Arabidopsis thaliana: one gene and its partners. The protein of the gene in region 2 interacts with the protein of the main gene of each other region in a pairwise test. Each region holds a gene or a part of one and is shown on either strand. Other genes may lie near its edges.

Evidence for each region. Proteins that work in one complex are often made in the same cells at the same time.
Region 1: the proteins of AT1G68810 (region 2) and ARF9 interact in a two-hybrid assay, tested with the Arabidopsis thaliana proteins (one large-scale study listed by BioGRID).
Region 3: the proteins of AT1G68810 (region 2) and ZFP8 interact in a two-hybrid assay, tested with the Arabidopsis thaliana proteins (one large-scale study listed by BioGRID).

What each region holds. Positions count from the first base shown.
Region 1 is NC_003075.7:12,448,289-12,457,795, forward strand, and holds ARF9 (auxin response factor 9), read left to right. Parts: upstream 1-2,854; 5' UTR 2,855-3,303; coding exon 3,304-3,319; intron 3,320-3,410; coding exon 3,411-3,517; intron 3,518-3,597; coding exon 3,598-3,696; intron 3,697-3,872; coding exon 3,873-3,929; intron 3,930-4,019; coding exon 4,020-4,175; intron 4,176-4,258; coding exon 4,259-4,343; intron 4,344-4,428; coding exon 4,429-4,519; intron 4,520-4,608; coding exon 4,609-4,773; intron 4,774-4,855; coding exon 4,856-4,969; intron 4,970-5,048; coding exon 5,049-5,121; intron 5,122-5,204; coding exon 5,205-5,352; intron 5,353-5,431; coding exon 5,432-5,901; intron 5,902-6,032; coding exon 6,033-6,220; intron 6,221-6,301; coding exon 6,302-6,449; 3' UTR 6,450-7,081; downstream 7,082-9,507. Other genes in the region: CSLG3 (cellulose synthase like G3), read left to right, coding at 8,203-8,844.
Region 2 is NC_003070.9:25,857,518-25,865,463, reverse strand, and holds AT1G68810 (basic helix-loop-helix (bHLH) DNA-binding superfamily protein), read right to left. Parts: upstream 4,371-7,946; 5' UTR 4,176-4,370; coding exon 3,561-4,175; intron 3,074-3,560; coding exon 2,582-3,073; 3' UTR 1,930-2,581; downstream 1-1,929.
Region 3 is NC_003071.7:17,504,571-17,511,042, reverse strand, and holds ZFP8 (zinc finger protein 8), read right to left. Parts: upstream 3,701-6,472; 5' UTR 3,488-3,700; coding exon 2,714-3,487; 3' UTR 2,427-2,713; downstream 1-2,426. Other genes in the region: AT2G41945 (uncharacterized protein), read left to right, coding at 1,078-1,110. UniProt on the Arabidopsis thaliana protein: Probable transcription factor required for the initiation of inflorescence trichomes in response to gibberellin and cytokinin. Is not involved in the regulation of trichome branching. Is functionally equivalent to GIS2.

The DNA.
Region 1 (9,507 bases), on a different chromosome or scaffold from region 2:
CTCGTATTTATTTGAAACACACGTTCCACAAAAACATTACCATTAACTCTTGTATCATATATATACATATATATTGTCCTCTCTGTGTGTATAAAACATGTGTATATATATATATATATATATATTAATTATAGCTTGTGATATATACCTAGCTTAAATCAAAGCCAGGATTTGATAGTATAGACCTAAAAAATGTTGTTTACTGATCACTAATCCTCGATATGTAAAATAGTAAATTCAAGAATCAAGAATATCGAACACATGACCTAACAAACTAAAGCAAATTTAAGATGAAAGTTTTTTTCTGAACATATCATATTTTTTTTTTTTAAATGAACATATTCATTGCTTCTAGATTTTTGCTGTCAAATATGAGTAACTTTCTGTGACGTATGTTTTTATACAGAGGTGAAAACAGGGAATACGCCATCAAGAAGCAGGGAATCAGTAACCTACTATTTTAATAGAAGATTCATTACCTTGTTAATCACGAAATTACCTTCTTGCTCATGAATCACCAAGTCAATGTCAATGTTTTTAGAGAAAAAAACACACATACATAATCATCAAGTCAATGTTCTTGCAATAGTTATACCTTTAGTTTCCCCCAAAAAAATATTAGCCAATTAAATCAAACAAGAAAGAAGATATTACTTAAAAATCTCTACAAAACACATGACTACATGAGCGAGTGAATTCGATAAGGGCTTGAAGAAGTGGTATGCCGATTGACTATTGGGTTAAAAATAGATGAACAATTGAGATTCTTAGAATTAGTACCACTAAATTGACTAAAAATCAGTAAATGATTGAACTCATTTGAGACCAAACATGTGGGAGATATATATGGGAATGAATGCTTTCTAAGTGGACACGAAAATTCTATATTACAGTTGAGATTCGTTTGAACAAGCTCTGGGGAATATACGGGGGACAAGATACCAATTTATTACTAAAATAAATACGATTAAAATAGTCTAAATTGAGAAAGAGAAGATCCGGAGATGGTGGTGGTGGGTTTTAAGGCATCTTGCTTATTTATATCCTTAAAGGGAACAGAAATTGTCAAAAATACGTCATACGTGACGTTTTCTGTCATAATTAGTAATATACTAAACATAATTAATTAGAACTAAACGATAAAGTAATTAGTTAATTGGTATATAAATATATGGACTATGGAGTATAGGCTTTTTCATCTTTATATTTTGCTTATTATTTATTAAAAAGTTTGGCATTATTCATTGCCAAATGACTACAGCAAATATACGATTTTGATGCAGAAATTTAAATTTATTGATCATCTAAAGATCGCACTTAGTTTACTATACGAAAATCCATGCACTACACTACTAGTGATGGTACAAATGTTTAGGAAATAAAATTATTATGTTAAATTTTGTATTGAAATAAATATTTGGGAGTTATAATCTTATCATATAAAAAAACTAAAATAAATAACTAACCCAACATATATGTATATCTACATTATAAGGATTTGAATTTATATGGTAAACATAACTATACTAACAAAAATTATTATATTACATATCTTGGTTAAATTAGTAAAATAGATTTATTTAGTGTTTTTCGTTTGTCGCTTGTCATACTTTTTGAGTTCCTTCAATTTGAGTATCATAAGATTTTTAGGAAACTTAATCTTGATGTTATAAGTGATATTAATCGCTTATTTATAACATCTACTTATTTATCCATCATCGATCATTTTTTAACGGTTCAAAAGATTTCACGTATATTAATGTTCAAAATTCTAAAAAAAAAACATTTAATCAAAACATTTTTTTCTAAGTATTTAAGTAATTTTTCCGGATAATATTTGTTTGGCAACGATCAACATATATCATGACTCAAATAAATTTTGATGTTTCTAATTAGTAAAATGTGGAGTTGGAAAAAAGTTCTTGCAAAAGGTGAAAAGAACAAAAATCAGAGATGGAAACACTTCCCACATGCTTATGTTAGTCCCACCATTTAGTGGTAGAAATGTAATTTATCCAAAGAAGGAGGTCAAAGCTGCTTCGTCTCTAATCCAAGTCTAGCCAGTATTGTTGCCTGCATAAGAGCAAACGGTAAAAGTGACGGACTCTTAACGATGACGGGTGTTACTGTTTAATGTCTCTTGATCGACTTTTGTTACCGTAACGACAACGGCACGCGCCCTCACGCTCCGTACCAGCCTTAAAAGCCAACACATTTATGATTTATCCAGTAACTAATACTAATTCCTTCATCCACTAACGCAATTGCATTTAATTGTTTAGTACGTATAGAAAAAAAGTAAAAAGCTATTTATAATTATAACTTACAAAGTCTCTTTCAATTAGTACAGTGTAAAACAACCAATTATTTTCTATATTATACAGTATAAAGGTGTTTATCATAGACCCATTATTTATTTGTTTTTGACTAAAATATCAAAGTGTATTAAAACATAAACCAAATAAATTTGAAATTAAAGTTTTTTTTTTTTTTGTAAAATTAAAACTGATTTTTGGTTTAAATAGAGAAGCAAAGCTACGCTTTTTTTTTTGCTAGCTCTTTTTTTATTTAATCAAACAAAAATTGAGGAAAACAATTATTGTTGTGCTAAGCATTTCTATCATATATTTTTTTATAAACAATACATTTAATTTCAAAATAACTTTCTACTTTCTTCAAATCAAGCTATTTCCTAGAAATTTGGTACTGTCTGGATAACAACATGTCTTAGAAAGTATAGTAAGGAATTTACAATTGGTTATACAATTAATGTATAGCGTATTATTATATACGAAAAGGTGTCCAATTTTAGACATACATATAAAATCAATTTATTAAAAATAAAAGTATTGAAAAAAGAGAGAGTGAAACGGAGATAAAAGCAAACGGAGGTGTTAACTTAAAGACGGGAGAGAAGCGAGTGAGAGATTCTTTCTTGTAACGGCGTTGTTTGACGATTATAGTGACGAAGAGAGACAAAAAAAAAGAGTTTAGTCTTCTTTGTTTGGGAGACGAAGACGATAGAAGCTGGTTTTACGGGAGAGAAATTAGAGAGGTTACAGTTACAGAGCAGGAAGGATTGCGTTGCGTTACGATTCAGATCTCTCTCGATCGTTACTTACATGCATTAGAGAACAAGAAAACGTGGAGACGGAATCCAAGGGACCTTCTTCTTCAATTTAATTCCTCACTTTATTACGCACCCTTCTTTTATTTTCGACTGTTTCAGCTTCCGGTTCTTCATCGGAGAGAGATAGAGAGACTGTGTGTTTTGGTGTGACTGATAGAAGATTTAATCAGCTGATGGCAAATCGCGGAGGTGAGAAATTGACCGGAGTTTTGTTTTTTTCTTCAATTTTCCGGCGACATTACCGGCGAAATTAACCGGTGTACATTGTGTGGTGAAACAGGTGAATATCTGTACGATGAGTTATGGAAATTATGCGCGGGACCTCTTGTTGATGTTCCTCAAGCTCAAGAAAGAGTTTATTATTTTCCTCAAGGTCACATGGAACAAGTAAGCAGCTTCTCTTTTAGATCGGTGAAATTTTGAGAAAGATTTTTTTTAATGAAACATTTCTATTTTTGGTGGTTCAGCTCGAAGCGTCAACGCAACAAGTCGACTTAAATACGATGAAGCCTCTTTTTGTTCTTCCTCCTAAGATTCTCTGCAATGTTATGAACGTTAGTCTTCAGGTATACTTTCCACATTTAGCAAAACCGAATTTATCTGATGATGTGTCGTCCATTAGTTAAAGCAATATATATAGATGGATATTGTAGAAAATCTATGAAGAAGCTGGAAATGATTAGACTAAATATGAGTGGAAGTTCTGGATCTTGTTTGATTTCTTCATTTCTGTTCTTGTCAGGCGGAGAAAGATACGGATGAGGTCTATGCTCAGATTACTTTGATCCCTGTTGGAACTGTGAGTGACACAATTAGATCACTTGATTGTTTTTGTTGTTGCAACTTCCTTAAATTCAATGTTTAGTGGATCTCTAAATGTAAACTGTAGGAAGTTGATGAACCTATGAGTCCTGATCCCTCTCCTCCTGAGTTGCAAAGGCCGAAAGTTCACTCTTTCAGCAAGGTTTTGACAGCGTCTGATACAAGCACCCATGGTGGCTTTTCTGTTCTAAGGAAACATGCCACGGAATGTCTTCCTCCGCTGGTATTAGGACACGCTTACTATTTGTGCTTTGTTTCCCACCAAAATGGCCTTTGATATGAATTTCTTATGTTCTTATCCTTTAGGATATGACTCAGCAAACCCCGACCCAGGAGTTAGTAGCCGAAGATGTGCACGGTTATCAGTGGAAATTCAAGCATATTTTTAGAGGTGGTGAATCCATTTCTTGTTAACTCAGATCAAACTTTATGTATCCATGATAATTGTATAAAATGAATGATAATTCATTAAACAGGCCAACCACGGAGGCATCTATTGACGACAGGGTGGAGCACCTTTGTTACATCAAAGAGATTGGTTGCTGGGGACACCTTTGTATTCCTGAGGTATTATACTTCACGCTGCTACCTTGTTTTGTTTCTTTTGATGGTCCATTGGTAGATTTTGAACTTCCAAGCTATATTATATTTTCCAGAGGGGAGAACGGAGAGTTGCGAGTTGGAGTCAGACGTGCTAATCTTCAACAGAGCAGTATGCCTTCATCCGTTATATCAAGTCATAGTATGCATCTGGGAGTGCTTGCTACTGCACGCCATGCTACTCAAACGAAAACTATGTTCATTGTATACTATAAACCAAGGTAGACAGTTATTACTCTATGGGAATATCTGAGGTGAGTTTTTTCGACATTCTGCTTATCGAATTACTCTCGGTTTGAGCAGGACAAGCCAATTCATCATTAGCTTGAACAAATATCTAGAAGCCATGAGCAATAAGTTCTCTGTAGGGATGAGATTTAAGATGCGTTTTGAGGGAGAGGATTCCCCTGAAAGAAGGTAGTCTGAATTTTTTCTTTGTTATGTATCCTGCACTTTGTCCCCAAAGCTATTCTCACACATCTATTTCTTTACAAAGATATTCTGGCACGGTTATTGGTGTGAAAGACTGCTCCCCTCACTGGAAAGACTCAAAATGGCGATGCTTAGAAGTAAAATTCCTTCCACTTTTACATGTTTTTTAAAGTGTTTATTAAGTGTGAAAACTCAATCAGTTTGCTACATGTTTGTGTAGGTTCATTGGGATGAGCCTGCATCGATTTCAAGACCCAATAAGGTTTCACCATGGGAAATTGAACCGTTTGTAAATTCAGAAAACGTTCCCAAATCAGTTATGCTGAAGAACAAAAGGCCCCGTCAAGTTAGTGAAGTATCTGCACTTGGTGAGGCACAATCTAACCGCCACTGATTTGCTAGTACATAGCTTAAGTTTCCTTGCTAAATCTCACATGCTGTGTTTAGATGTAGGCATAACAGCTTCAAACCTTTGGAGCTCTGTTTTGACGCAACCCCATGAGTTTGCACAATCGTGCATCACCTCACAGTGGAGTTCTCCTCAGCAATGTCATCGTGATGCAAATGAGGATGCTAAGAAATCTGACTGGCTAAATAACTCTTACTCTGTGTCAAATGTAGCAAAAGACTCAACACTGAACGACCAAATGGTTTCCCCAGTCGAGCAGAAGAAGCCTGAGACAACCGCTAATTATAGATTATTTGGAATTGATCTGATGAGTTCCTCCCTAGCGGTTCCTGAGGAGAAAACTGCACCCATGCGACCAATCAACATATCCAAACCGACTATGGACAGCCACTCAGACCCAAAATCAGAGATTTCAAAAGTATCAGAAGAGAAAAAGCAGGAACCTGCGGAGGGATCACCAAAAGAGGTCCAAAGCAAGCAAAGCAGTTCTACAAGAAGCCGTACCAAGGTATATATATGCCTACATGGCTACCGTGAAGTGTATATACATTGTGTAATCTGTGAGTTGCAAAACAGATACACATTATGTATAATGTTTGCGGGACTGAACAGGATCCTGAATTCTTTATCGCTGAACAGGTGCAGATGCAAGGCGTACCTGTGGGCAGGGCTGTGGATTTAAATGCGCTAAAGGGGTACAACGAGCTCATAGATGACATTGAGAAGCTGTTTGACATAAAAGGGGAACTGCGGAGTCGCAATCAATGGGAAATAGTGTTCACAGACGATGAGGGAGATATGATGCTTGTCGGTGATGACCCATGGCCGTAAGTAACTTACTCTTTATCTCTTAGTCAATAGAATCACTACACAAAACTCATATCTGTTGACTTAATTTGGTGGTGCAGTGAGTTCTGCAACATGGTGAAGAGAATATTCATATGGTCGAAAGAGGAAGTGAAGAAAATGACGCCTGGGAACCAACTCCGGATGCTGTTAAGGGAAGTTGAAACAACACTAACAACAACTTCCAAAACAGATAATCATTCCAACTAATTTTTATTCTATTCTCTATCAGTCTTCGTCTCCTTCTTATTTGCTTTGTCTTTCGGAATTATCTTGTTTGTGTCTGTGTTTTGTTGCGCATGGCTTAAACAAGAAACTACATCCCCTGAGGCAAAAAAAATGGCTCGTTTTTTTGGAGCCTCTTATGGAGAAAGGGGGTTTATGGGGAGAGGGTTTTCTACTTTTAAAATAGGCTTTTGGAAGTTTCTTTTTCTTCTAGGAACTTGTGTGTAAGAGAAACAAATATGTAACGAACAGAAAGAAAAAAAAAAAAAAAAAAAAAAAAAGAGAATGAGATTTGTGAATAACTTGATGAAGGACTTTTGGGACTCTGGGATTATAAGAGATTAAAGAGGGATTATACCTCATGGCTCTCGTGTTTTCTGATTCTTTTTCGTAGTTGTGTTTTCTTTGATTTTGTTTTTCATCTAAGTTTTAATGTATATATAAAATTTCAAACATGGCTTTCTTGTATTTGTCAAATCCCCAAAGGTACATATATTATCAATATTTAAAATGTTAAATAAACAAAACTCTAGACCTAAAACTATTTCAGGTTTTCCCACTAACCTTAACAATGATTCAAGATTATTGATGTTTTGTCTGTGAGGACATGTATGTGGCCGCTCTTGCCACCATATTCACAAACGTAATTGTATGAAGTATGGACCACCTTTTCGCTACTACTTCTGGATCCCCTTATGTTTGTAAAGTGTATCATTCCCTTATATCACTATTCACTCACATGCATTAAAATATCGAATGCTGCAAAGGAAAAAAGAGTTATTTTTCTCTTTAGATATCATTTGGGTTATGCATATTACTTGGATTAGTCCAATATGTCGTGTACAACCATTCTCGCTGCAAAACAACTACAATATGTCAACATAGTATAACACATGCTGATCTGGTGAGATTATAAATTGTGAAGTTTGTCTTTATAATATGTACATATAGTATTTCTTTGATTATGACAAGTGTGTAGAAAATGTTAGGATATTATTCTAAATCCCACATACGAAAGATTAGATAATGATTATCCAACATATAAGTTCAATCTAATTTTAATTAGTGTATCATTTGGGGAAAAAAAATCGTGCATATCTGGTTGCTTGGTCCAAATATCTATATTTTCTGACGGTCCAATATTTATATACGTACCACATAAATACACCTATACGAATCTCTTTACTAATACGTCGATACCGTTCATAGTTAATGACGTTATTTACTGCCGAGATAATGAAGTGATGATGTAGGTTATTTATTGCCGAGATTTGTGAAGGCAGTGGATCTCACAATCCCTATCTTTTCCTCTTCTTTTTTTTCTTTTTTTCTTTCCATATATAGAGAAGTTTAAATTTAATTGTACCATTAAAAGCTCACCAAATACCAACTTATACATACAGTCAGTATCTATATCAGGAATTTATATGTATGTGTGTATACCGAATAATAGTAAACTCATTTTACTAATAAATAACTTTGTTTTATTATATATTTGATAAACAACTTGTTATAAATTATTTTAATATGTTAAATTTGAACTTATTAAATTTTAAGTAATATTCTAGTGACGGAAGTATACATTGTATTTAAATTGCATAGATGTAATTACTTATTTTAAAAACTTATAGCACTATTCAGTGATTTACTTTTCCAACCTAAAATCGAGGTGTAGAATGTCTACTCTGGAAAAAAAAATCGCCTATAAAATATCAATATCAATGGTGAGTTTTGTTCTATGTACCAAGTTTCTCTAAAACAATTTGTCTTTCTATTAAAAATAAAGAGTACCACGATGGAGCCTCACAGAAAACACTCGGTCGGCGACACAACCCTCCACACGTGTCATCCTTGCCGGCGCACCATTCCATATAGAATCTACGCCGTATTTCACACGTGTGGCATCATAGCCCTCATGTATCACCATGTACACTCACTTCTCACAGCAAACACAACTCTAATCACGTCTCTCCTTCTCCTCTCCGATATTGTTCTCGCCTTCATGTGGGCAACCACAACTTCCCTCCGGTATAAACCGGTTCGCCGGACCGAGTACCCTGAGAAATATGCAGCTGAACCGGAGGACTTCCCGAAACTGGACGTGTTTATATGCACGGCTGATCCGTACAAGGAGCCTCCGATGATGGTGGTCAACACTGCCTTATCGGTGATGGCTTACGAGTATCCGTCCGATAAGATCTCAGTCTACGTATCGGACGATGGAGGTTCGTCGTTGACTTTGTTTGCTCTTATGGAGGCAGCTAAGTTCTCTAAGCATTGGTTGCCTTTTTGCAAGAAGAATAATGTTCAAGATCGGTCTCCTGAAGTTTATTTCTCATCAAAGTTACGTTCTCGGAGTGATGAAGCTGAAAATATCAAGGTGCGTATTATTCTACTAATCACTTATAATTAGGAATGTTTTTTTTTTTATCGAATGTTAAAATTGTCATTCATTTTGGTTACGTTGAATAGTGGGGAATAACATGTTTAATAAAAAAATTTGGACAAAAAAACATTTATATTTTTCGTGGAAGGAGTAATTAATAATGACAAATAAAAAATAAAATGAGTACAAAACTACAAACAGAAAAAATAATTATTTGCTAAATCAATGGGGAGCGATTGTTGTGTTGAAGAAGTCACTTCAGAACCTTATCGTATCTCTTTTCGACGATAGTGGCAATCTTGTTCTTTTATGACCTAATACTTTGGAAGACTGTGACTCGTCGTAGTGACCTACAACAATTTCTCCCAAAAATATATACGACTATAGGAGTATTAGTAATCTAAATGATAGAAGTTTTTCTTTGTTTGAATTTTCAGTTATCCATGATTGCGCATAAGTAAAGTAAACTTGAATTGGATATTTCCTGCCCACCATTACTGTAAGCATTTCCTTGATATATCATCAATTATGAATTAAATATTAAACAGTAATTTTAAAGTTGAACCTCTAAAACAAAATGGAAAGACTTGTTCAGAAAAAAAAAAGATATTTTATGGCAAAACTGGTTGACATATCCATAGAAAATGGAGAGACTGA
Region 2 (7,946 bases):
CATACGAGATTACGAGGTGACATGGAATTATATGTTTTGTCTTCATATTAGTATATAAAAAAATAATACTCTTCGTTGACAAACAAACAAAACATACATAATTAAGTAATTAACACTCTTCCGTTTCAAAGTTAATCTCTTCATTTTTTGTAAATGTTTAAAAGTTTCGTGAAAATATTACAGTATATAGGTGTATTAATGAATACATGTAGATGACTAAACCATTAATCTATATAAAATAAAATAAAAGAACATTAATATATTTGTCGGTCGTAAAATTTTGAGATATGGATCAAATTCTAGGTCATAGGAATATCGTTGGGAGTATCAACTTTTGGAATATTAATTGATACATAAACCGATGTGGTATTATTGGAAAACATTCAAAACAATTGTTAAGAGTTTTTGAGTTTTGACACATTCTTTGTTGGAAAACAATTGTCTTATCGAATTAGAGGTTTGATTAAGAATGCATAATTTTTCGTAGATCCGAAAACTTTACCACAAGTTCAAAATCCATTTGATTAAAAAAAAACTTTAGGCCATGATTTAGCTCCACGAGCCCATATATGATTGCAGTCTTTATAATTACACTTTCAGAAATGGTACGATAGCTCGAACATATTGTGCTTGGGAGAAACAAATCCAAGATTCCAACGAGGTCAAATTGTCATTTTTTAGATATAAAGAATTGTCAAATTGCAGCACATGTTATGGTCGCGTTCTAATGATTGTTGCCAGAAATATCTTGACATGCACCAATAAAAATATCAACCAATAGCAATTTTTATAAAATACTTGTAAATACTGTTCAATAATTTTGTGACAAGAGAAGTGTAAAAGTCGTTACTCTTGTTCATTAATTAAAAAAGGATGAATGTCTTGTCGTGCAAGTTTATAAGTCTGGCTAGAAATTCTTCTTCTTGTTGATAAGATAGATGGACAGTTGTTTAACATTAAAACAATATAAAAAATGATTGATAGAAGTTGAGTTTGACAAACAATATTTAAGGTTTAATATCCTGAATCAGGATGATAAGGATTTGAACAGTTACTCTATTTTTTTCCAAAAGGGGAAGCACAATTTTAATACCGCGACTAATCAATAATTAGAGAGTTGAATGATTCAATAAAATCTTGCTGAAAAATGATATTAGCATTCTTTGGTAAAAAAATGGCTGGGCTTAACTGTAGAAATATGGCTGAGCTTTGGTTTGGGCCTTTAAAGATTTCCCAATACTCTCTTCTTTATAAAAAAATAAAATAAAATAAAAAGAGATCCCTAAAGTAAAACCAAAAGTCTCTTTTGGGATATTCTTTTCAATGCAAATGGTAGGTAGTCCAATATCTTTGTAGAATCCAACAAACTAATAAAATTCATCTCATTTTATGTCGCTCTAACAACATGACCAGCTGAGCCCTAATTGCAAGTCTCCACAAAACTTAGAAATCTTCTAAGTTTTTGGTTTGATAATGAAGACGTAATTAACATAAATTAAAATTAAATTCAAGGTTGTCTATAGAGAAAGCCAAAAGAGGAGTCAGTACTAGTCTACTAGACAATTCACATGACCGTCACTTAGGTAAAAATGTTAAAAGACAAATGAAATGGCAGTTAGGGTACAATAGTACGTAAGTAGTACTAAATGATCATAATTATTAATAACGTCGACGTACTTCACTTCATGATGCAAGCTTAACACAAATACGACGTCAATTACGTATGTTCCTCGTCATGACCAATCTCAATCACAATCACTTATCATCCCTATAAATTTACACATTTCTTTAATAACAAATTTTAAATACTTCGATCAAGGACGTGCTCATGTGCAACACATAAAACATAACACACTTACAAAATAAAACTCTGGTTAGAATACCATGTTAAATTTCATGGACCAACCTAAAAAACTAATTGGCTACGTCCTTTATATCTTAGTCTTGGTCCCGATGTTTACCTCATACCAGTCCATGATGCAAATTTATATAAAGCAAAATATTTGAATATATGTAAATCGTTACACGAAAAAGATTCTACAGAACACATAAATACACAAGGCAAAAGAGTCAGAGAAGCATCAACGTACGAAGCTCAGAATCCCAAATTTGTCTCTTTTTGTTTTTCCCCCGGACAGAACCCGACTAAATCAATTAATGATACACATCATCTTTGGTACGTTTCCTGTTCTTCTTCATTGTCTCTTTTTGGTCTCATTCACACAATTGCAAAAATAAGCCAAAATTAAATTCAAATCCTCCCACATGACAAGAGAAAACGAATTTTCCAAACCCATGCATTGCCTTACAGAAATCATACTTTTTTTTCGTCACATACTCCCATTAAGCATATCTAGAAAACCAACTCAACGATACAAGTTTTTAAAAATAAGTATCTTAGAACCAAACCAAAAGTCCAAGACCACAACGGATACAAATACTTCCGTTATACATACACACAAACACACATATATCTATAGTATAACGTGACGTACAACATTCATTTCCATAACCAGCAAACAACACACGTAGTAGATACACCGAAAGTAAGAAAAAAAAAGCGATTTAAGTAAAAAATTGATTACCTCTGATTATATTGTTGTTGTTGTTCGACGATAGTGATAGTGTTGTGACTACTCATTCTCTGTCTCTTAGCATTTCCAGAAGAAGATGATTCCTCTACATTGCTCTTCTCCATCACCGCTTTCAAAGCTTCCTCAATCGTCCCTATACAGTACTCTTCCTCCACTTCCTCACCGGAGCTCTCTTCTCCGGTAACAAACAAAACGTTCTTGACTCGTCCCCCAACGGTGGTTATCTCCGCCTTGAGCGTTTTGAGACGCATAGCTTTCAATGTTTTAATCATGTCAGGCAAGAGATCCGACCTGTCTTCACAGCAAAGCGACGCTTTAATTACAAATCTGCCATCTCCGGTTTCTTCCTCCTCCGTGAAAGCTACCGTTAACTCATCGCTTTCCGTTGGGACAAGATTTGTCTCTGAGATCACTGAAGTCTCTCTCTTCAACTCTTTCACATGTTGGATCACTTCAGCTAGTAACGACGCTTTATCCGTCTGCATTAAAAAAAACGAAGAAAAAACATATTTGTATAGTTTCGAGGAGAAAATTATGTGGTCGTAGAAGTTATGATTTGGTCCGGCAATAAGACTTTTTATGCTTTTTAAGCAGCGCCGGTTGTTTCTCTTTATTACATCAATTAACCAAACGACGACATAGACGTTCCATATTCCTTGCTTTTTTATTTATACTACAGTCTCTGACTGATTCTCTCTCGGGACTTTAACAAATACCCACAAGATCATTGATCAAAACAGAAAACCTTTGAATAACTTACTTCTCCTTTTATAAAACCTAAATGTAAAAAAATAAAAAGAGACAAAATGTGACATAAACTTTCATGTCGCAGCTACTATGTTTTTCCACTTAAACTCTACATTGTTTTAGTATTATTTTTTATTTACAAAAAACTTAAACGGTGTGTGATTGATGAATGTTTTTACTTATGTATGAAAATTTATGTTATAAAAATTTTGGACTTACTTTGGTGGTGTTGGGTAATATGCTACGGAGCTTAGCGAGATGATTATTGATTCTCTCTCTTCTTCTTCTCTCAGCTTCACTATGACTCTTTGAAGCAGCCAAAGCTTTAGCGTCCATGATCTCTTGTGCTGTCATCTTCCCTAACTCAGCTTGTAACCCAAAAGGACCGGACCCGGCTTGTACTACCGGACCTAAAGCTTCCGACAAGATCCGAAGTTGTTCATGATGATGATGTGCTGCTGACGTGGCTCCACCAAAACCCTCGTACCCAAACTGTAATCCCTGATGATGAGCTCGACTTCTGTTGAAGAAACTTCCGTAGAAAGATGCTGGAGAAGAAGAAGGAGGAGGAAACTGATCAAATGGTGGTTGGATCGAGGTAGGTGGAGGTAGAGACCATATTGGAGAGACGGAATCTTGAGAGAAGATAGTGAAACCAGATCCAACGTTACCGGATGCTCCCAAAGTTTCAGATTGAGAAGGATCATGATGATGATGGTGATGATGAGAGATGAGTTGGTGAAAGAAGAGGTCATTTTGGTAATTTTGTATGTTGTTCATGGCTTCAGAACTGTCTTCTTCTTCTTCTTCTTCTTCTTCTTTCTTAGCGCACATATCACTTGTTTCTATGAAGACATGAGAGTCTTCATCTTTCAACTCTTTGTCCTCTTCTCTCTCTCTATATATGTATATATATATGTGTGTAAGAGAAAGGAAAGGTTGGTAAAAGAAGGTAGGAGAAGAAACGAAAGTTAAGAGAGTTAAAAAGAGACAAAAGTTTGCTTTCAAATGTTGTAGACGCAGACATATATAGGAAACTCATGCGTTTGTTTGTTACCAATGGTTTGCAGGATATGTGGAGTTTGCAACTTGTGTTTTGTGTTGTGGTGGAATTATTAAAAAGGTAAAAAAAAAAAGGTAATGGGTTTAAGATTCTTTAGATTATCTATCTTTTAATTTACGCATTTAGTACTTCACGGTCTATTTCTATTTCTATTTCTAATAAGTATATGGACAAGCAATGCGATCGCCAAATATCCATACACAGAAAAATAATTTGTATATATAAAAAGACACAAAAAGAATTTATATATACAAAATGACACATAATACATATCTTTTAAATTTGTTTCAGAGCATCGAAAATATATGAGTCGGCACTATACAGATTTAATTGATTTATATAAATAAAATCTACGCTATAGCACTAAACTAGGTATTAGAGACCACATAATATACGTTACAAATTTGTAGGTATCAACAAAAAATTGATTATTTGTCTTCTATTAGACCACTAACTAGTTATGGGAGAGCACATAACATTGTGTAGGATAGTGATTTGGTTATCTTTTTTTTTTGGTCAATTGTTTTCTCGTTGATATAAAACCATGATACTAATTAACAAATATTAACCAAATTCATGTAATCTAATAATTGATACTAATGTTTCCTTATGTCATCATCCGAATTCAAATCCTCATAACTAAATATTATGACCCTATTATATTGATAAGGCAAATGAGTTCTGACCATAAGGAATTAATGGGCTAAATGAGTTAGATTGTAAAAGATTTATGATTCACCAATATTTACCCACATTTTGTTAAAAACTAAAAAAAAAAGTAAATGATATTCGTTTCTTATTATATTCATGATATCATAATATTATCATATCATCACCATCATACCCCATTATCATCATCATGATCATATAATTTCACAATTTGTTTTTTTTGGTCAAAAACTGAATTTCAATGAATCGTGAATTATGTAATTTCGCAACTTCCAGCTAAAAGTATTTCATAATAATTATTGCTAAAAACACAAATCCACAATTTTCCGCTATATTCAATGTTTCGTAAAAACATGATTTTTGCAGAGAAAACTATATTTTTGTTTTGTTTTGCAAAAGCACGATTCCAAAATTTTGTGCCATAAAGGTGATTTCAAAATTATGATGATAATGGAGATGGTATGAAATGATGATCGTTATGTTATGATGATGATAAAAATGATAATGCGATGATGATGTGAAGACAATGAACGTATCACATATGATACCGATTGTAATAACTATTAATTATGAAAATATGTGATAAATTATTACAAAAATATTTTATGGGTAGAACTATTTTATCATTTTGATTTTCGACCCATCAAATTAGATAGATTAATAGGCATTTACCTCCCCTCATACCAGAAACTAGAACATTTTATATGGTCAACCTATTTACTAAATGGCTTACGTTCTTCGTTCACCTAGTTAACATTCACCCCATAAACATTATGGATCAAATTGGACTGGATTACCCATATTGTCACCTATAAATAAACAAAATTTAACATAAAATTAAATGCTTGCAAAATACTAGTGTCAAGTGCTAATAGTAAACTCGTCTTAAAGTTACAATTGTTATAACTTATAACATAATTTACAAAAGGTTTATATTATGGATTTTATATATATATATATATCTAGATTTAAAATTTATATTTTACAAGCTCTAGGTCTTCATTTGGAATTTATTCATACACATTTTACAACTTCTAGGTCTTCCTATATAAATTATTCTTACGATGTATATGGATAAATGTATGGATAGTTTGCAACTTAGCAAGCCAATATATTATGGGTGTAATTTAGAGTATCATCTAATGAGTAAACCTTGACAATTTCTAGGATTTTTCCTAAATAAATTTGTTTATATGATATGTCTCTATAGATGGATGTGTGGTTTGCAACTTGGAAAGTTGCTCTGCAAGTCGTCTTTGCTTTCAACTTACGGAAAGCTCAACTAAGGAGTGTAGCTATCAGGGAAATAAAATATCAAAATTAGTAATATTTTATTTCATAGTGATTGGTCCAAAATTTGCTTTAAATCACATCCCCTTATAGTTATAGGATATATGAGCTAGAGCTTGAGAAACACTATAACCGAAATATAAGTAAATAAACTATAAGAAAAAAATGAAAGAAAAACAGAGAGTGAACACAAAACACACAGATTGTCGGACCGACCAAAGACTCAAGAAAGGCTGGCCGTATCATCATGACCTTAGTCTCAAGCTTGCAATCAAAAAGCCCTTTTGCTTTCCTAGCACTTTCATTTCATTATAAAAGCTCTAAGTTAATTTTGTGTTTTTAATAATTCTTGTTTTTACCTTAAATATTCCTCTTTACCAAATTTTTATTAGTAGTTTATTTAGATGGAAGTCTAATATACGACATTGGAAATTGACATGTATACACTCAAATATACATGCACGTGTGCGTATTTATGTGTATATTTTTAGGTTTTTATTTATGAGAAAAATGTGTGTGTATATATATATATATATACTGTATTTGAAAATTTTGATGGATGCTACTTTCTCTATCTGACTCTATTAGAATGTCATGACCAAAACCAGCAATGGCAAAAACACGGTTCACAATAATTTCAGATATAATTTGAACTCTTTTGTAAGAAAGAAGCTGCGATTTTTATATTGTAACGTACGAATTCCTTGACAATACAAAAGAAGATGTGTAGAGAAAAGCTTGTCAAATAATTTTAATTATAATGTTTATAGTTTTTGAGTAGATTATAGGGTTTAAAGTTTGACCGACCTTGGTATTAATTGTAAGGAGTATTCTAAGAAAAAAATTGTCAATTAAAAGTCTGAAAAGAACAGAATAATTGAGCATAGTAAAAGAAAGAAAGTAGGGAGCCAATTTTGTTCATGAAAAAAAACCAGTGCTCAATCTCTTGAGCTTCATTTCCCACGCTAATCCTTTATGACTTCTCAAAGACCTTTTAATCATTTTGTCTTGGAACGTACTCTCTCTCTCTCTTTCTCTCTCCCAGCCTATTTCGTGGGCTTACATGGCTTCATGCACTTTGTAACCATTTAACATAATCGAAGTTGTAGATAATTAAAAAAGGGATCTCAATTCTTCAAATTTGGCCTTTCAATGAATATTAATCATTCTCTATAAATATGAAAAACAATTAGATGCTTGATTATATATTTAAATTTTAATCTCCACTCCGCTTGAGAGGTTTTGTTGTTCCATCCATTCATGTTTCTAATTCTATTTCAAACAATGTCAATTACTATACCGTATAGTTTAAATACATTACCAAAATGTTAAATATTGATTTCCACTTGTTGTAGAAGGAAAACATTATTTTTCTTTTAAGGAATGGAATAAGACAAGGAGGAAAAGAGGACACAAATTAAAGGGGCATAAGGCAAAATATTTGGGAAAAACAAGTAAGGAAAAGAGGAATGATGATATATGTTTCCATTCACTTTTTCAAAGACGCACGCACAGTTTCCCAATCACAATTCTTCTTCTACTTTCTTCAACTCCTCTCTCTTACTCTCTCCCTAAAGTACTAT
Region 3 (6,472 bases), on a different chromosome or scaffold from region 2:
TCCACTCCTCTAGCTGAGCCAGCTTATTTCACGATCTCTTCTTCTATTTTGTTTTCTCGGTTACCTTTCCAAGTCACATTCTTGAGAACCACATCTATAATGTTAATTTCTCAACATAGTTATACCAAATATAATGTCTTTTAGGTCCTCTCTACTGATAATGCCATGGTATTTGATTCTTGAATATATTATACTGCTTACACAATATCCTCCTGATCTATTTTACAAGCAGTCATGGAACTACATGAACCATGTCTTCTCAATGGCTACCTTTTCATATGAATCCATTGCTATGACTTTTGATATGTTTGTCTTGAATTCTGACAACAAGATCGGAGATTCTGAGTGATGGTAGCAATGGTAGCAAGCAAGTAGATGTTGAAAATTAGTTGTGTAAGAAGCCATAGTCCCAACTCCCAAGGATTGAACCACATGGTCTATAGGGTCGGTGGAACTTTATATATGTAGCTTTGGTCACAAAAATGAGACCGTTTTGGCAGGTTGCACTGTTGTGTAAATGAGATTGAGTGAGTTTTATTTCTTAAGGGGTTTGAGATGTGTACTGTTCGAACTATCATCCTCAAGTTGCAACTTTCCTAGGGTTGTGGGCCGATGTTCCTTAAATTCCACTAGTCCCTTTTACATATCTAAAAAAAAACAAGAGAGCAGAGAAAGTGGTCCTAAGGTTATATAATGTGTATGCTCTTCACACGTCTTTATTATGTGCTTCTTTTATCATGTTGTTCATCACATGCTTCCTTCTCCATTGCATTAACTAGTGGGTCCTTTTATAGCTGCTCTTGATGTTAACTCTTTGACAGCATTCATTCACTGAGTATCCTTAAATTTTCCATAATTTGATAAAACCATCACGTAATTCTCAAAGGTACTGTGCTCTCTGGTTTAACCTCTGCAGTTTGTATCCAAATAACTGTTCCAAGGAGGGCAGATATGTCTTCTTCTTCTTTTTCGTTTGGTTTTTTGTTCCCATGTGATTTTGATATGCATCCTTATTGCAATAGTTTGTTGCATAAGACTTGTCTAGAAAACCTTATCTCTCATCCTTTTGATTGACAGGCTGAGTTTGCACCGTTTGGTCCTTCCCCGTAATATAGACAGCGACTGTCCTGTTCCGCGACTAAAGACTTAAGGTCAGAAGTTTTGCAATGTCACTTTCTGCAACCTGTTATCACAATAATGTGCTGAGATTTGTTTGAAAGCTTTAGGATAATATTAAGACGTACTCCTTGCATAATGTTAGTTGATTAGGTACACATTAGCAATCATGCTACAACGTTTCACGACATATATAACTAGAGAAGGAAAAGTATTCCTTCTGTTCAATCTCAGTACTTATAACCTGCATACTTTTACCTCAAGAGTATCCAAAGTTGTTCTTTTGGAATTATAGACTTGATAGAGTAAGATTAGCTGTCGTTTAACTTTTATATATTGGTTAGTATCACAGCTGGTAATTCTAAAGCAAATAGGCTTTATATATCTGTAACCATCTTGAGTTCTTATTGTAGTATATTTGTAGTGTGAGGCAATGCCACATATATATGTGATTGAAGTCTTGCCAAAACTGGAAAAGTCAAGCATTTGAATATCTTGGTCTATGCCGAAAGTCGTAGCTATATAAATATGGTTGTCTTTAATGTTTGGTTAGTGTTAAGACATTGAAGGTCATATGTTAGGTACGAGGATTGATATCATTGCTTCTTCTGAGATATACGATTGTGATTCTTGTAGGCCTTGGGGCATATGGACTTCATTCAAAGTCTGTTCACTGGAGGCAATAAGAAGAAACATGGTCATGTGCCGTGGCTTGTAACCAGTATTTTTATTTTCTTATTATATTTTGAGCATTGTGGTATATGGGGAGAGAGAGAGAGAGATGAACAAGGAAATATGGTAGACAGCTTGTAGTTGATGATTCTCTTTGAACTGCCCAAAAAAAGGTTAGAAAAGAAACTAAAGAAGAAAGCTTTTGAGGAAAGGCTTTAGCTTTAGGTTCTGTGTGTTGAGAAAGATGTGAAAGCTCTATCTTTGGCTAACTCTACACTTGTAATCATGGACCACTTTCACTTCTCAACTCTCTCTCTCTCTCTCCCCTTTTGTCTTGTCCATTGTCTTCAGTGATCCCCACAGTCACCGAATCATCATCAACATCTGCATTTACCCATCCTTCGTTGCCTCTTGATTCGGTAAAAGACCGTTTTAATTAGACAGAGACCCTAAGCATTTTGTATCTAAAGAGTCTTCTGGGGTTTTTAATGGTTAAGACTTTAAATATCTCGACTGCAACAACAGAGAGAAAGTACGTGTGACTTCCATGGCCCTTAAATTAATGTTCCTCTTTCTCTGAAAGTTATAGAGAGTCTTGAAGGAAGCCATAACAGAACTCACAAATGAACAGATGAAATCAAACAAAAAAAACGATAATTATATCATTCACATTCACACACACGTGAGAGGAAATTAAACGGATGAACGAATTTTACTAATTAACCAAAATATTATTCCCTTTATTAATATAAACTCAGAATGTGAAAACCTCAAAAAGGTTCAAGATGATCTACACACCAAACCGGTTCTCGTTTTCTTTTTCTTTTTTTCAGTCTCCAACACTCTCAAAAGAATTGGCTTCACCGATCAGCGAGTCTCATATATCACAGCAATGATGGATGATAAAAAAATAAAATAAAAGAAGTCAGAGATGAAGATCGAGACTCACATGATCTTGCACATTGGGTTTCATCAATCTGTACGGCCAGTTATTAGGCTCCTTATTAGTCTCTTGCTCATGCGACCTAAACGCTGAAGCTGGTGAAGATGAGTAAACGCCTTGAATAGTATTTGTTGACGTGGAAGGCGGTACACGCCACAAACCTAAAGGACTTCCGTTGATTGTCGGTGGGTTAGAAGAAGGAGGAGCAAGAGTATTCCTTGAGTAGTACGACGGCGTTTGATGTCCCCCTCCGCCGTAGTATGATCTAGCTTCCGTCGTCCAAGACGGATAGTGACGGTGGTGGTGGTTGTTGAGGAAGCCGTAGATGTGGTGAGGGTCATGAGGCTGATGATGATGAAGGTATGATGTCATGGAACCGCGTTTGGCGTGTTGACGTTCACGTTTGTGAGCGTTTTGATGTCCACCTAGGGCTTGAGAAGTTGGGAAGTTTCTGAAGCAGTAGTGACACTCGAATCTCCTGTTGTTGTTGTTATCTTTGTCTTTGTCCTTATCTTTTTCTTTGTCTTTGTCCTTGATATTCTCAGAGCTCTCATCGTTCTTGGTAGTGGTTTGATGATCAGAAGGTTCTGCGGATAAGTTGTCGGAGTTATCACCGACGAGCTCTTGGCCGAAGAGACGAATAATGGCGGCTTTTTCTTTGGGAGGAGTACGGCGGATGAAAGGAAGCTGAGAGAAGGATTCAACGTTGACGTTCATGAAATCGTGAGTTTCTCTTCGTCCGTTGGTTTCGTCCATGGAAGAGAGAGATCAGGGAGAGTGAGTTTGAGAAGAATGAGGTTGACTGTTTCAGAGACAGAAAGACAAGAGATGAGGTTTTGCATTAATTTAAAGAGAGGTTCCCAAATTCTTTTTAAGGTAAATACATAATTGCTATTTAACCCCTGCAGCATGGCCGCGTGCGTGATTTTACGTTTATCCACCTATATATATATAGCTAAAGAATGATCCACATTTCACTTGTACATATTTTTCAAAATAAATAAATCTACTTCTTCATTAGTTTTTTTATGATCTCAATTTTTTCATTAGTATATTAGATTTTTCCTTTTGAAAATCAAACCTCATAGAATTTTAAAATTGACTCCATGGTGCATGTTTATATTTTATTTTTTTCGTTAGTTCATGTTTATATAAACCTGCAATTATGGTTGGAAAAAAAAAAAAACTAATTAGCGTATGGAAGCATAGGAGACGTAAATATGGGGTATATATGGAAGCATAGTACTATACTATATGATTACAGATTTATCTTGTGTTTAAATTGTAGCTTACTATGAATCTATACCGTGTGTCGCGGTAGGTAAAAATAGCCGGATAAAATCAATCAATATATAGGGAGACCTCTAATCTACATTCACTTCCCCTACGCAATATATCTCTCATTAGACATACATATACAAATATCCATCTCATCAAAAACAAACCCATCAATCCTCCTTTTTCAAAGTTATCTCCTTTTTAGTTAGTTGTTTCTTAAAGTGATTCCTGCAAATGTTGAAACTAAGACAAAAAGCTTACCAAATTGGTCGTAAGCAGATGAAATGGGGTCACAGTGAGTAATGAGATGAACTAAAAACAGTGAGAGTTTGTAGGTAAGAGATCATTAGCAAGGTGAAGTTAGGTGTGTACTCTTTAACATCACGGACCTATTTGGTTATTATGTCTACGTATAAGTACATGGATTTTACTACTAATAGAGAGAGAGAGAAATAGAAAGACCTAATTAAAGAGACTTCTTCTCTCTCAAGGACCATACTTTTAGTCTCTTGGATGTTTTGTCTCTTTGATGCAAAGATAATCTTACAGAGAGAGAGAGGTGGTCCATGTTCATGATCATTAATGATGCTCATAATCGACTAGTTGACATGTCATCACCAGATAGTTAACCAATTTAAAAGATTGAACCTTAATCGATGAGATCACATCATCTTATCAATATGTATGTAATCTGTTAATACTTATCAACTCGGATCGATCATATACACGTCTTCTTCAAATGAACTATATATATATATGTATTCTCTTTTTGTTCGTCTACACTAAATTTTTTGATATTTTGTAAGAATAATTAAATTTTAAATCCCATTAATTTTGATTATATATATTCCCTGATTATGTCACACAAATAATGTATATGTTGCTAATGTCAAGCTGGAATAAGGACTATAAAACTCATTAATCCATAAATTAATCTGACCTTTTTCATTTCTTTGACGACTCCCAAATTCCCAATTAAGTATGACGTTCAGTTAGTTGTTTTGAGCGGTAAAAATTTTCTCCTGTACAATGGTTGGAATCAAATTACTAAACAGTCTAAACTAATCCTACGAAAACTAAGATCTTGTAAACTAATGCTGATTGCTTACTATACACAGTATTCAAAGTTTTCATTTAGTACGTATCGAATCATCTCTTATCGTTCTATATACTCCAATATGGATCATCCATTTGTGGATAGATAAACTATTCCTTTTTTTTTGGTCAACAGATAAACTATTCTCTTATAAAAGTATTGTTATTTATAATTTTTAAATTAAATTATGTAAGCAAAACAATTTCTTTTTTTCTCCAAATTTTTTTCAGACGGATTCCCTTTAAAATCCAACTGTTGTAAGTGACTTCCTCACATATAGTATGAATTTACCGATTCACATAACATGTGTGAGGTATATATGAGTAATCAAAAGCTTATTGTAAGAAAGGGAAGTAAATTCAACTATGGTAATAATGTCCATACGAATGCTGGTCCCAAAGTACATTAATTTACATACATAATTTTGCAGATTTTGGACTTCACATGACGAGTCCACGTCTCTTTTATTTTTCCACAAACAATAAACTCTGTTTAAACCTACACATGCGATTTAACATTTAAACTCATCAGAGAGCCTTGGCATGCAAATATGAAAGTTTTAACTGTTATTAAAATTATATAGTTAATGAGAATGTTTTTTTGTATTCCTCTAATATTTTAGAAAAATATTTAAGGGAAATTGATGAGAATGCTTAATATCGGACTTTCTACAACCAAATTTTGTCAAATCTCTTAGATCATACTACGTAGTCTTTTTAGGTTATATATCAGAACTTTTTTGATTAAAAAGACGAAATCTATATAAAATCTCGGACTCTGATTTTTTTTTGTCTAAAGCTAAGTCCTAACCAGTGTAACATACTTGTGTCATAATATAATACTTTTAAATCTCATAAAAAAGGGAAGAAAAAAAAAACATATTGTAAATGCATATCTAAAAACATGGTTACAAAGAAAAGTAAAACAAATCTAAAAAAAATGTAATTGGGTCCCATGAATGGCACTTGAACCCCACAAAAAAACATGCACTTAAAAGCCCACAAATCTCCCAAACCCTAACAGCAACTCTTCATTGAATCATGCAATTGCAAACCTCTTTGCTTTGCCATTAAAGTCACAGTCATATGCTCAGAGATTTAATGGCTTTTGTTGAGGGGACCATATCTCTCACTTTCTTGCCCTCACATCCATTTCTTGGATTCAACTCCTCCACTCTTATATACACATATGTATGCAAATTCCCTCCTTGTTTATTTTTCTGAAAAGAAATATGATGAAATGTTTGGGCCAGTAATAAATAATAAAGATAATAAATATGAAAGATGAGAAAAAAGAGTCTAGATTTTGAGGGACAAGCATATCTTGTCCTTTTCGTTATATGTGACCTCACAATGTTCAGCTATATA